2 linked regions of the Ovis aries genome follow. Each later gene encodes a partner of the first gene's protein in a complex. Links are inferred from orthologs where the notes say so. Each region holds a gene or a part of one and is shown on either strand. Other genes may lie near its edges.

Region 1 (5,192 bases):
TTTCTTCACAATTGGTGTTTTTATTTTATCAACCTTTCATTTTGGGGGGAGGGAGGCTCCTTTAGCATTAAAATCATTGATCTGAGTCAAATTTGCTTTACTTAGTCACCCTGGAGGTACTGGGAACAGAAAGGGATGCTAGGACCTGCTCTTCAGCTCCTTCATGTTCCATATGAAGAAACTGAGGCAGAGACCGCTGGGCCTGACCTCAGGCCGCAGGCAGGGGTGGGCAATGAGCCTGAGGTCTTAGACCCAGCTATCCAGCTCTGGGGCATCAGAATTTAGAAAACAGCGACATTAATGGCAAACCCGAAGAACAAGATGAGGAATTCCAGCCCTCATTCTAAAACAGGATTAAAGATGTAATTTGAGAATCTCCTCGCCTCTTTGCTGGACAATTTTTAAGGGAAGGGCAGTCCTTGAGTTGGCATATGACATCACTCTGGAAGTTTGATTTGATTCTAGTGATTTGTTTGTAATCCGTCACCTTTCTGTTAAGAGACATACTTTCCCAGCCACCAAGATTTTTGCTCAGTTTCCTCTCTGTAGCCTCCCTTTACATGAAGTGCAGTGATAATATAGAAAAATTGAGTAAAATCCATGCACTTTTTTTTTAAAAGCTCATTCCTTATCAACCTTGAAGTTTCAGCTTTCTTCCTCATTAAACCTTCTATCACAGCTGCTAAAACTGAGGCTAAAGAGTAAAGGGGTGATAGCATTTCCAGAGGAAAAGTTTCTAGTGCGTTAAACAGACATTATCTTAATTCCAAACTTTAAAATTCCCAATTCCTGAATTCTGATAAACAGATTAAATGTTTTGTTTGCCAAACCTTAGAAATAAATCTTCATCATACTGTTGACACCACACAGTATTTGAACACTGATGCATGATTTTCCAACTCAGGTTCAGTTAAAAGAACACTTTTGTCCAAGAAAAAGCACATTTTTATTAAGCAAATGATTAATGTAGCAAAACAAAAAATCCTGAATATTGGAGCAGACCATTTAACCAGCTTTATTGACTAGTTTTCCCCTCCTCTTCCTTTCTTCCTCTCCAGTCGAAACTCGTAACTGGCTGATAATTCACCCCTGTGGTCAACTCTAAGGGTTGCTTTTTAGAAGCCCATTTCCTAAGTTGCAAGGACAAATAAGGCCATTCAAATGCTAATACCTCAGGGCAGCAGGGTGAGACAAAGGGCTAGTTGGGAGACTAGAGAGTGGGGAATGCTTGGAGAAGTTGCCAGAAACGCTTCTGGGAGAGAAAGGCAGGTAAACACTAGTGCTGTAGGTAGAAAGAGGGCTTTTTGAATCCTGTGTATAGCAAAAGCCCCTCTCCGTGGGGTGGGGGTCCTCCCCACAGGGGTTTGGTATGTTCCTCAGGTGTTCTGTATGTTCCTAATGACTCTTCTACCCTGGAATCAGGATGGAAGGAGGGAGGGGGTGGGGGAAGGGAACTGAGTGGGGGAGGGTAACAGGTTTTCTCAATCCGGTAGTTCGTGGAGGAGTGTCTGAAAGATGGCCAACACTGCGTTCCTGGAAGGGGGCACCCAGCCCCCTCAACTAACCTGGTATAATGCCTACAGTTAAGAAAGCCACCCTCTCCCGCGCAGGCTTCTGTTTAAAAAACAGCCCGAGACTGGGGTGACAGGTGTGGGCGTTGCACTGAGGACTTTTTTTTCAACTTTTATATGCTAAAGCAACATGTTTCTCTAATGGAAAACCCAGCTCTGCAGGAAAACAGTTCCCCTAGACTCTCCAACCTGGGAGGGCAGCCCCCACATTGAAAAGCCAAGGGCATCCTGACCGCAGCCGCCTATTCACCAGAGACCTTTAACTGGGTGAGCGCAGGCTGCCAAGACATCACCAGAGAAAAAGCCAGCACGTTCAATGCCTCCAATAGGAACACTGCGCCGCCGTTTTTACACTAAGTAGAAATGTTAGCTTTGAGGAGCCCCATTTCACCTAGGCAGTTTAACGCTTTCAAGCCAAAGACAGGGCACACCGGACCCGCCTCCAAGTCCTAGGCAGCCTTCGGACTTCTGGACACTTCCCCCGCTGCCCAAGGAAGCCCCCTCGCCGCTGTTTACTAGTTAAGACCAGAGCAGCATCCGAGAGCCATTAGTCAGCGCCGCAGCCCACCAGAGCGAAGTTTTGGGGCGGCCCGACGCCTTCCCCCGGGCGGAGACCTGGAAGGAAGACCCCTTAAGATATGTTCTGAATATAGGCTGAAACCTTATTTTAGGAGTCTAAGAACCCGACCCGCCTTTTCAAGTCTCCAAACGCCTCACTTTCCCCCCAAATCCTTCTCATCAGAATAGCTCAAACCGGCACGAAACGAGACGCCCGCGCACCAAGAAAAAGATCAATTTCCAAATCGGGGGAGGTTTTGTAAATACATTTTCACTAACCAGTTTCTCCCCCCAGGGTTGGCGAGAAAGGCACACTTTACGCACCGAAGATGCGTTACCGGATTGCGGCCGTTTCTGTGCTCCAGCTTTGCCTTCAGGTTACAGATTCCAAACTTATCCCCACCCGAGCCAAAAATGGCCGGTGCGGGCTGCCAGCCCTCCCCTCCCCGAGGCTGCCGGAGCCTCCGGCCCCTTCCGTCTCTCAACTAATCGCCCTGGGACTTGCGGCGGCTCCTACACCTTTCCCCAGCTCACCGGGTGCTGCGCTCTTTCGGAATGCGCTCTTTGGCTATGCTTTCTTTGGGGGTGCGTTGTGGGGTTCCCTGATGATAGGCGCGACTCTGTCTCCAGCCTGTTCCTTGTTCTGCTTTACCTTTCCGCTCGCGACCACCTCGCTGACCTTTTAGCTACTATCTAACATCCCCAGGCAGCTGCGCAAAAAGCCCGGGACCTCTCTAGCCAAGATGTACCCAGCCTCACCATCAGACCAGCTGCGCCAAAAGGTTGGCGATGCCGCGACACGACCACGTCCGTGCCCCCAACCCTGGTAGCCCGTTGGGCACCTCCCGAAACTCCCGTACCTCCTCTGCTTGCCCTCCAAGCACAGGTGATTCGTGGGGAACCGCCGGCTGGCCCGGAGAGGTCTGCTATGAGGCGCGCAGGCAGGTGCGCACGCTTTTTGCGGCGGTCTCTGGCCCGCCAAGCACCCGGGGACGGGCGGTGGCGGCCAGGACTGGCGCACAGCCGCGAGGGGCACTGGCGCCGAGGCCCCGCGGCTGCAAATTGGCAGCAAAGGGTCCTGGGCTCCAGGCTCCAAGTGCCTTAAGCGCCGCGCGCGCGAGAGACTTTCCGGGAGCGGGCAAGTCTCCGGAGTTCTCACCCAATCCCTGCCAGGTTACTTTTCGCACATTGCAACAGTGTCGCTACAGCGCGGTGGCTCTGCTTTCCGAAAGTTGGCGCGAGCACTTCTGAGCCACGTTTTTGGCACCCGCCGTGGCCAACTGGTTTGAGACTAGTTTCTCTAGAAGGGGAAAAAGCGCATAAAATAAGTGACTTACCCGTGCCTTCTGGGTGTACAGCTCGAAACCTGGGGTGCGCCCGGGATTCAGTTGCGCGGGTCCTGGACGCCAGCTCGGAGACCTCTGGCTGTTTCCAGAGGAACGCAAAGACGCCCCACCGTCCAACAAGCGTTTGGCCACCTAGGCGCCCACCGGCACCCTGGGGGAGATCTGGGGAGCCCTTCCCAGTTGGTTCTGTGCCCCTGCCCCTCCCGGGCTGGCTCACTGAGCCCGCTCTCTTCCCGCTTCCCCTCTAACCTGCTTTTCCTCCCTCCCTTCCTCCCGCCGGTCCTGCACCGACCCCAGACTCCCCAGTTTAGCAGTGGGCAACCAACCTGGGTCAAAGAACACAAGGAGAATCCGGGGCGCGTCTTCCATTAGTGACGCCGGATGGGGATGGGCCCCCTTTTGGAAGGGGACTCGGGGGATGGGTCGCGGCGGGTGGGCTTCTTCGGCTTGCAGCGACGCTGCTGCTCCTTCTCCTCCTCCTTTGGCTCCTCAGACTCTTCGGGGTCCCTCGGATCCTTGTCCTCGGGCTCTTCCCGTTGTCTGGGGCTCTCAGACTCCTGAGTACTGGGCGGCGCACGACTCGGGGAGGCGTCGGGGCTCCGCAGCCTCAGGGCGCTGAGACGCTCGGTGAGAGATTGGTGGAAGGTGGGGCGCTTGGGCACCACGGGGCCCCGCTCGTCCTCGGGCTCGGTCTCCGGCTCAGTGGTGGGGGCTGTGTCAGACTCGGTCTCGAATTCGGTCTCGGACTCGATTTCAGACTCGGACTCGGTCTCGGATTCGTAGTCGAACTCTTCTTCCTGGTACTCTGGGCACTCGGGAAGGGAGGGCTCGAGGTCTGTGTCCTCGTGGTCAGATTCAGGGGGCTCGGGGAATACCTGGGCTGCAGAGCGGTGGTGGGCGTTCAGGAAGCTCCGGCGCTGGGCAGCCGCGCGCTGCTGGGCGCGGGTGCTGGAGGTGGCAAGGGCGCGGAGGAGCGCGATGGAGCAGGAGAGCCAGAGGAGCGCTGTGGCTGCCCGGCGGCCTATGGGTGGGCACAGATCGTTGTAATTGTGGCGAGCTCGGCGCCCTAGCTGAGGTCGGGATCTACGATCCATCCTCACGCACACTCGGCGAATCCGACCCACCCTCTGGCTCTGCAGAGAGCAGCTCCGAAGCGCATCGGCCGCTAGAGCCGAAAAAGGTGCTCCTCGCGAGGGAAGAAGCTGGGTCCGGCGGTCCCAGCCCCACCTCGGCTCGAGGGGAAAAAGGGAAGCACCTACCTTCCTGACCACTCAACTTTCTAAAGCTCCGCGCCTCTGCTTGCCTCTCTGGGCATAAAGAAAGGATGGGAAAAGGGGTGGGAAAGTCCGTCTCCTCCGGGGCCCCTCTCTCTAAGTCTTAGACTCTGTAGCCTAAGACTCCGAAGAGGTGCCTCCGCTGGTCCTCTCGCCTGGGAGAGGAAAGAGGAGACTGAGGCGAAGACAGACGGGGCTGAGAGGTTCTGCAAAGTTGCGCGCCCGGACTTCTGCCGGGCATGTGCAGTAGGGAGGCGGGGGCGGGTCCCCGCGCGCTGCGCGGTGGCGCGGAGCCGAGGCTCAGACCCTAGTGGACCGGCAGGTGGCAGGAGGGAACCTTGTTTGAAAGGTTTTGAAGGACGCGAGCGGCGGGGGAACCAGGCGTGTGCCATGGGGCGAGCGAGCCAGCCAGCCAGCGAGCCACAGGTTAGAGTGTTTGCGCA
Region 2 (5,036 bases), on another chromosome or scaffold:
TGGAACTACACCATCAGCACTCCTGGGTTTCCAGCTTGTTCCTATTGACTATAGACCTTGAGACTTCTCAGCCTCCACAGTAGCATGAGATAATTCTTCATAATAAATTTCTTCATATGGATTTATTTGCTTGTAAACTATCTCCCCACTAGAGGATAATGCTATGAGTAGAGACCTTTTGTCTGTTTAGTTTGCTTCTGTATTCCCAGCATTGGGACTGTGTCTAGCAGATAGTAGGCGTTAAATAAATATTTGTGAACTATATAAAAAATTTTGCTTGTGTATATTTTCCCAAGGCCTAAGGCCGGTGACTACTTGTGCTTGTGTGCATATATCTTCATAGGTGCTCAGAATTTGTCCACATATATTATTTATTCTCACATGACCTATAGGAAGGGAAGGAGGGAACAGTTTAACTGTGATTCACATGCATTGGTGGAGTGGGAAAGTTTAGTTCTTAAGGTTATTAGTTTAATGTCCTGTGCTTTGCAGATAAGAGTGCCTCAAAGTGGGCTGCTGGGCTTACCTTCATGTACCTCATGAACACAGTATATCTTGAGGTCTTGTCTTTGAAGAATTTATTTATTTTATAAGGCTGTGCATTTTGCTACAAGACCTGGCCAGTAACAATATACTCAGTCAATATGAATTTTCAACATTTAAAATTCTTTCCAGACTGGAAAAAATACACTTAAATTTGTGGCTTGTGGGTTTGTAAGCACACATGTGGTAAGATGAAGGAATGGTTTCAGACATCCTTTGGAGCTTGTCTTCCAAACCCAGTAACCAATTTGTACTGATATACAAATAACCCTTTAGTGGCCTGTGAATGCTATTATGTGAGTAATTATTCCCTTCTTGACTTCCCCAATAATTTGTATTAGGTGTCTCAATGATAATTTATGATCAAGTAAGTATGATTTTTTACATTAAGATTTTCACAGGATGATGATACATAATAAACTTTTAAAGTAAATGCACTAATAATTCATGTCTTAAATAGTAATTCTATCACCAGTCACATGCCCAAATTACATTTTTATAATGTGTTTATTTGTGTACAAAATATGTTGTAATTTACTGATGTGTATGCAGCAAAATATTCTATCACGTACAACAAAAATACACTTTTTACCCTCTTCCCCTCCCCTTGAAAATGGCAACACTGTTTTGGCAGTTCAGCAGCTAAAAATAAAGTGCTATAATAAAGCAGTATTGGAATGTCTTCACTCAACAAATGTGATGTACAATTTGAGTATACAACCACATTTTTGTTAGTTTTTTTTCACAGAACAGGAAATTCCACCTCCTGAACACCTCCAGAAGATACAAATATTTGTATATATATGTACACATGTATACACTGTATATGTAAAGTGCCAACAAGCCTCTTTGTCTCTGTGAGTTTGTTGTGTTTATATTTATCCTGGCTTTCCAAAATCAGTCACACTATTGGGATCTCAGAGTTCATCAGCAGGCACCAAGAAGCTCACCAAAGGCTGGCTTGTTAGGGGTGTGGTGTTGGTTAGAGGGTGGAGGGGGCCATCAGACCTCACTGGGGGACCTGGAGCGGAAGGGCACTTTGGACTGGAAACAGCCGCAGAACAGGAGCCACAGGGCCCGTTGGATCTCCTGGTTGCGGAAGGCGTAGATGATAGGATTGATCATAGAGTTATAGGTTGCGGGCAGCAGGGTGGCGTAGGTGTAGACATCTGGGTCCTCGTGGCTACCTACCACGCAGTAGATGGCAAAGGGCAGCCAGCTGGCACCGAAAGTGCCCAGCACCACTGCCAGCGTTCCCACACCTTTTCTGGTGGCAGCAAGGTGGGGTGGCGCCAGGCAGTGCTGCTGCAGCGCGATCTGGTGTGCGTGCCGCCAGACCACCTGGCAGATGCGCACGTACAGGTGCAACATGATGCCGAAGACCGCAAAGAAGGTGGCAGAGAGCAGCGCCACATGGCTGCGCGTCAGCGGGCGCACCACGCTGCAGGCGGCGCGCTCCGCCAGGCAATTCCAGCCAAGCACCGGCAGCAGCCCGAGGCCTAAGGACACGGTCCAGGTGGCAGCAAGAAGGAGGTGCACGCCCAACAGGGTCCGTCGGGAGTAGTAGGTGAGTGCATTATAGAGGGACAGGTAGCGGTCCACCGTGATGGCCAGCAGGCTGCTGACTGAGGCAGCGAAAGAGGTCACAAGGAAGCCCACAGTGAGCAGGCTCACGGTCTCTGAGGGCACGACGTATTGGAATACGAAGTGCAGAATGAGACCGCAGCCCGCCAGCAGGTCGGCGGTGGCCAGGCTGCCCACCAGCACGAACATGGGCGTGCGCAGAGCAGGGGTAGACGCGATGAGCGCCACTACCAGGGCATTTTCGCCTGCGATCACCGTCCCAGACACGCAGAGCAGTACGTCCCATGGATTCACTGCCGAGAGCAGCAGCCCTGGCGGCCCCGCTGGCAGCTGCGAAGACAACTCCAGCGACGCATTAGCTGCGCCGCCGCCCCCCAGCGCCGCCGCCGCTGCGGCTGCCGGGTGCCCCCATTCACCGGTGTCCCGCGCTCCTGCTGCGGTGGCCGCTGCCGCCGCACCCTCGGCCGCCACTGCCACCACTTGGGAGTCGTTGAGCGCAGATACGCTCGCGTTCATCGCGGCGGGACGTTACACCCTGCGTGGAGAGGGAGAACAAGTGTCAGATGTGCGGTTCACCCCGCTAGGGTACTTCCCCGGGCGCTGCTGCCCTGCTCGTACTGCCCATCCCGCCTCAGAGCAGAGCGAGGAAGCAGTGATTGAGAGCCAAAAATAAATAAATACCTGTTGAGTGAGCCAGTGAGAGTGAAACGCACAAGGGATGCCGCACTGGTATCGGAGTTTTTGCACAGATAAACACACGAAGAACATGCACTCACATTCACACGGATCACGTAAGTGTGCCCATATTTGCAACCACATCTTGTGCACCAGGTTATTATTGTCGGCCCCAGCGAGTCCTGCCCGGGCTCTGACCCGCTCGGTCAGGCGCTCTCCTCAACTAAGCGGCGGAATCGCTGTCCGCGGTGCTGAAAGAGAAGTTTCTGCGCTCGGGGAGCACAGAGGACCCCTCTGGCTTCAGAGACTCCTAGGAAACGGGTTTTGGGGGAGAGAAGCTGGAATGTCTTTTTAGGTGGAGAGTGTGGAATCAGCTTGGCTCCATTTCTCCGGGTGAAAAGGATTCATCCCCTGGCCATCCTTCACCCCTTCCCCTCTGCACACCCTCAAAGTTCCTTTAGAGAGCCCGGTTGCTCACCTGGGGAGTCAGGGCTTCAGGAAATCGCTGATCATGAGCGCTGCGGTGGGGCGCCAGACTGGGCTCCCCGCGCGAACAGAGCCGACTCCTGAAGGAGGTGGCCCGCCCGGCACGCAGGGGAGTGTCGGGAGCTTGTCGCTGTGCGGGTGCTGCGGAGAGAGTGAGAGATACAGTCAGTAGAAGAAAAGGCGGCTAAGAGCAGCGCGCCCGCTGGAGATTGACAGGCAGGGCGCGGTGACGTCAGGTTCCTGGCTCTAGGGTGCAAGCCAGGCACTCGCTCTCCTTGCCCGCCCATCAGCTACTTCCCTCACCACATACCCTCCCCAAACGATGTTTCAGAGGATTCATAGAAGGAGAGGTCGGAAGGCCGCCGCCAGCTCGGAACCTCCAGGAATAGACGGGAGAAAGAGGCAAAGAAGAAAAGAGTGAAGACTAAGGGATAGCAAGGAGGGTGAAGTGGGAGGGGAGGGGTGGGGGATGAGCTGCACTGGCCAGGCAGCAAGACTCAAGGCCGGAGCTCACTGAGGGGGCCAGGTTGAAGAAAAACCCCGGAGAAGAGGGAGCTTGGTGCAGAGAGGTCCAATTAGAGAGGTGCTACCTTAAAAAAAAAAAAAAAAAAACAAACTTAGGGGACAGGAATGAACTGGTATGGAGGGGACAGTGAGGGTTTCTTAAAAGGATGTTTGTGGTACCCTTGTCACCTGAGTAGAGTTAGAGAAGAAAAGCTGAGTTGTGGGGAAGAGAGAAAAGATGGGACATTTGGGGAAAGCAATATCTTCTTTCAAAGGTTACCTGTGCAATCAATTATTCTCTCCCCCTCCATTTCTTCCTTTCTCTCACTACCTTTCTTGAACTCTGCACAGAGGGTTTCACCATGATCTCCCCAGCCACATGTTCCCCGATTGCACTAGCTGATAGTGCTCTTGGAACTTGCTCTTTAATTAAAGACCAGGTCTGTGTCTTGTTAGAAAAGAAGAAAACAGCAAAATGTGATTTACTTTCCTGGCAACAGACTTTGCCCTGTTAATTAGTACCCTATAAAACAAATTACAGGATGAAAATAGTGATAACTCAGCTGCACCAGACTTCAGTAGGCAGGAGTTTTATTTCCAACTTAGATAACTCATCCTTTTGGTTTAAAGGTGTTTTGTTTGGTCAGTAAAATACAAGTATTAGGCTTCTTTTTCTTTTTTTAATTAGCTAAAATCTCCAATACCTGTACTTGGGGGGAAAAGCTAGAATAGTTGACTCCACCTAAGGCTCTGGAATAAATGATTTCTTATTGACATGATGGCATTATATCAGAGCCACAGACGTGATTTTCAGGGGCCACGTGCTCTAGGCAAGGTGAAAATAGACATTTGTTGCTGGTGCTTCCTCTACTTTCCCCTATGTAACTTCTTCCCTCTCCTGGCTTCATTTTGCCTCCAGGCTGGATTGGAAGGTAGATTTTTATCCTGGCCTTCTCCGTTTAAATATGCCCCCTAAGTCCAGACTCATCTTGCCCTCCTATCTCAGTTCAGCTGTACTTAACTAGAAAAAGAAGAAAAACTAATAGGACCATTCAAATCTTTAGCTGCAGTAGCTAGTGTGGGTCCATAAAATGAATTTATACACAATTTCTCCATTGGGAGAGTTTATAAAATTCTTGTGAACTTGCAATTTGGCTGCAACTTGGTTCTAAGTTTCTGGAAGTGCCATTTTGAGTTTCAATAGAAGATTATCAAGAATGTTATTTCAGAGCTGTCAAGCAAAC

What was found.
Region 2: the proteins of GNAS (region 1) and GPR6 are in contact, whole or in part, in a cryo-EM structure (PDB 8TYW), measured with the Homo sapiens proteins. The link is inferred for Ovis aries from reciprocal best matches to the Homo sapiens genes GNAS and GPR6. Residues at the interface, in NP_000507.1 of Homo sapiens: Gln35, Arg38, His41, Val217, Phe219, Asp323, Asp343, Leu346, Ser349, Thr350, Arg356, Tyr358, Cys359, Phe376, Arg380, Asp381, Ile383, Gln384, Arg385, His387, Leu388, Gln390, Tyr391, Glu392, Leu393, Leu394; in NP_005275.1 of Homo sapiens: Met107, Asp165, Arg166, Ser169, Leu170, Ala173, Leu174, Thr175, Tyr176, Tyr177, Leu182, Ile248, Val252, Arg254, His255, Ala256, Gln258, Ile259, Leu261, Gln262, Gln263, His264, Lys276, Gly277, Thr280, Leu281, Arg332, Asn333, Gln334, Glu335.

What each region holds. Positions count from the first base shown.
Region 1 is NC_056066.1:57,214,606-57,219,797, forward strand, and holds the start of GNAS (guanine nucleotide-binding protein G(s) subunit alpha isoforms XLas), read right to left. Parts: upstream 3,060-5,192; 5' UTR 1-3,059. Other genes in the region: neuroendocrine secretory protein 55, read right to left, coding at 3,844-4,569. UniProt on the Homo sapiens protein: Guanine nucleotide-binding proteins (G proteins) function as transducers in numerous signaling pathways controlled by G protein-coupled receptors (GPCRs).
Region 2 is NC_056061.1:27,519,899-27,524,934, forward strand, and holds GPR6 (G-protein coupled receptor 6), read right to left. Parts: upstream 3,443-5,036; 5' UTR 3,281-3,442; intron 2,663-3,280; 5' UTR 2,644-2,662; coding exon 1,546-2,643; 3' UTR 1,066-1,545; downstream 1-1,065. UniProt on the Homo sapiens protein: Orphan receptor with constitutive G(s) signaling activity that activate cyclic AMP. Promotes neurite outgrowth and blocks myelin inhibition in neurons.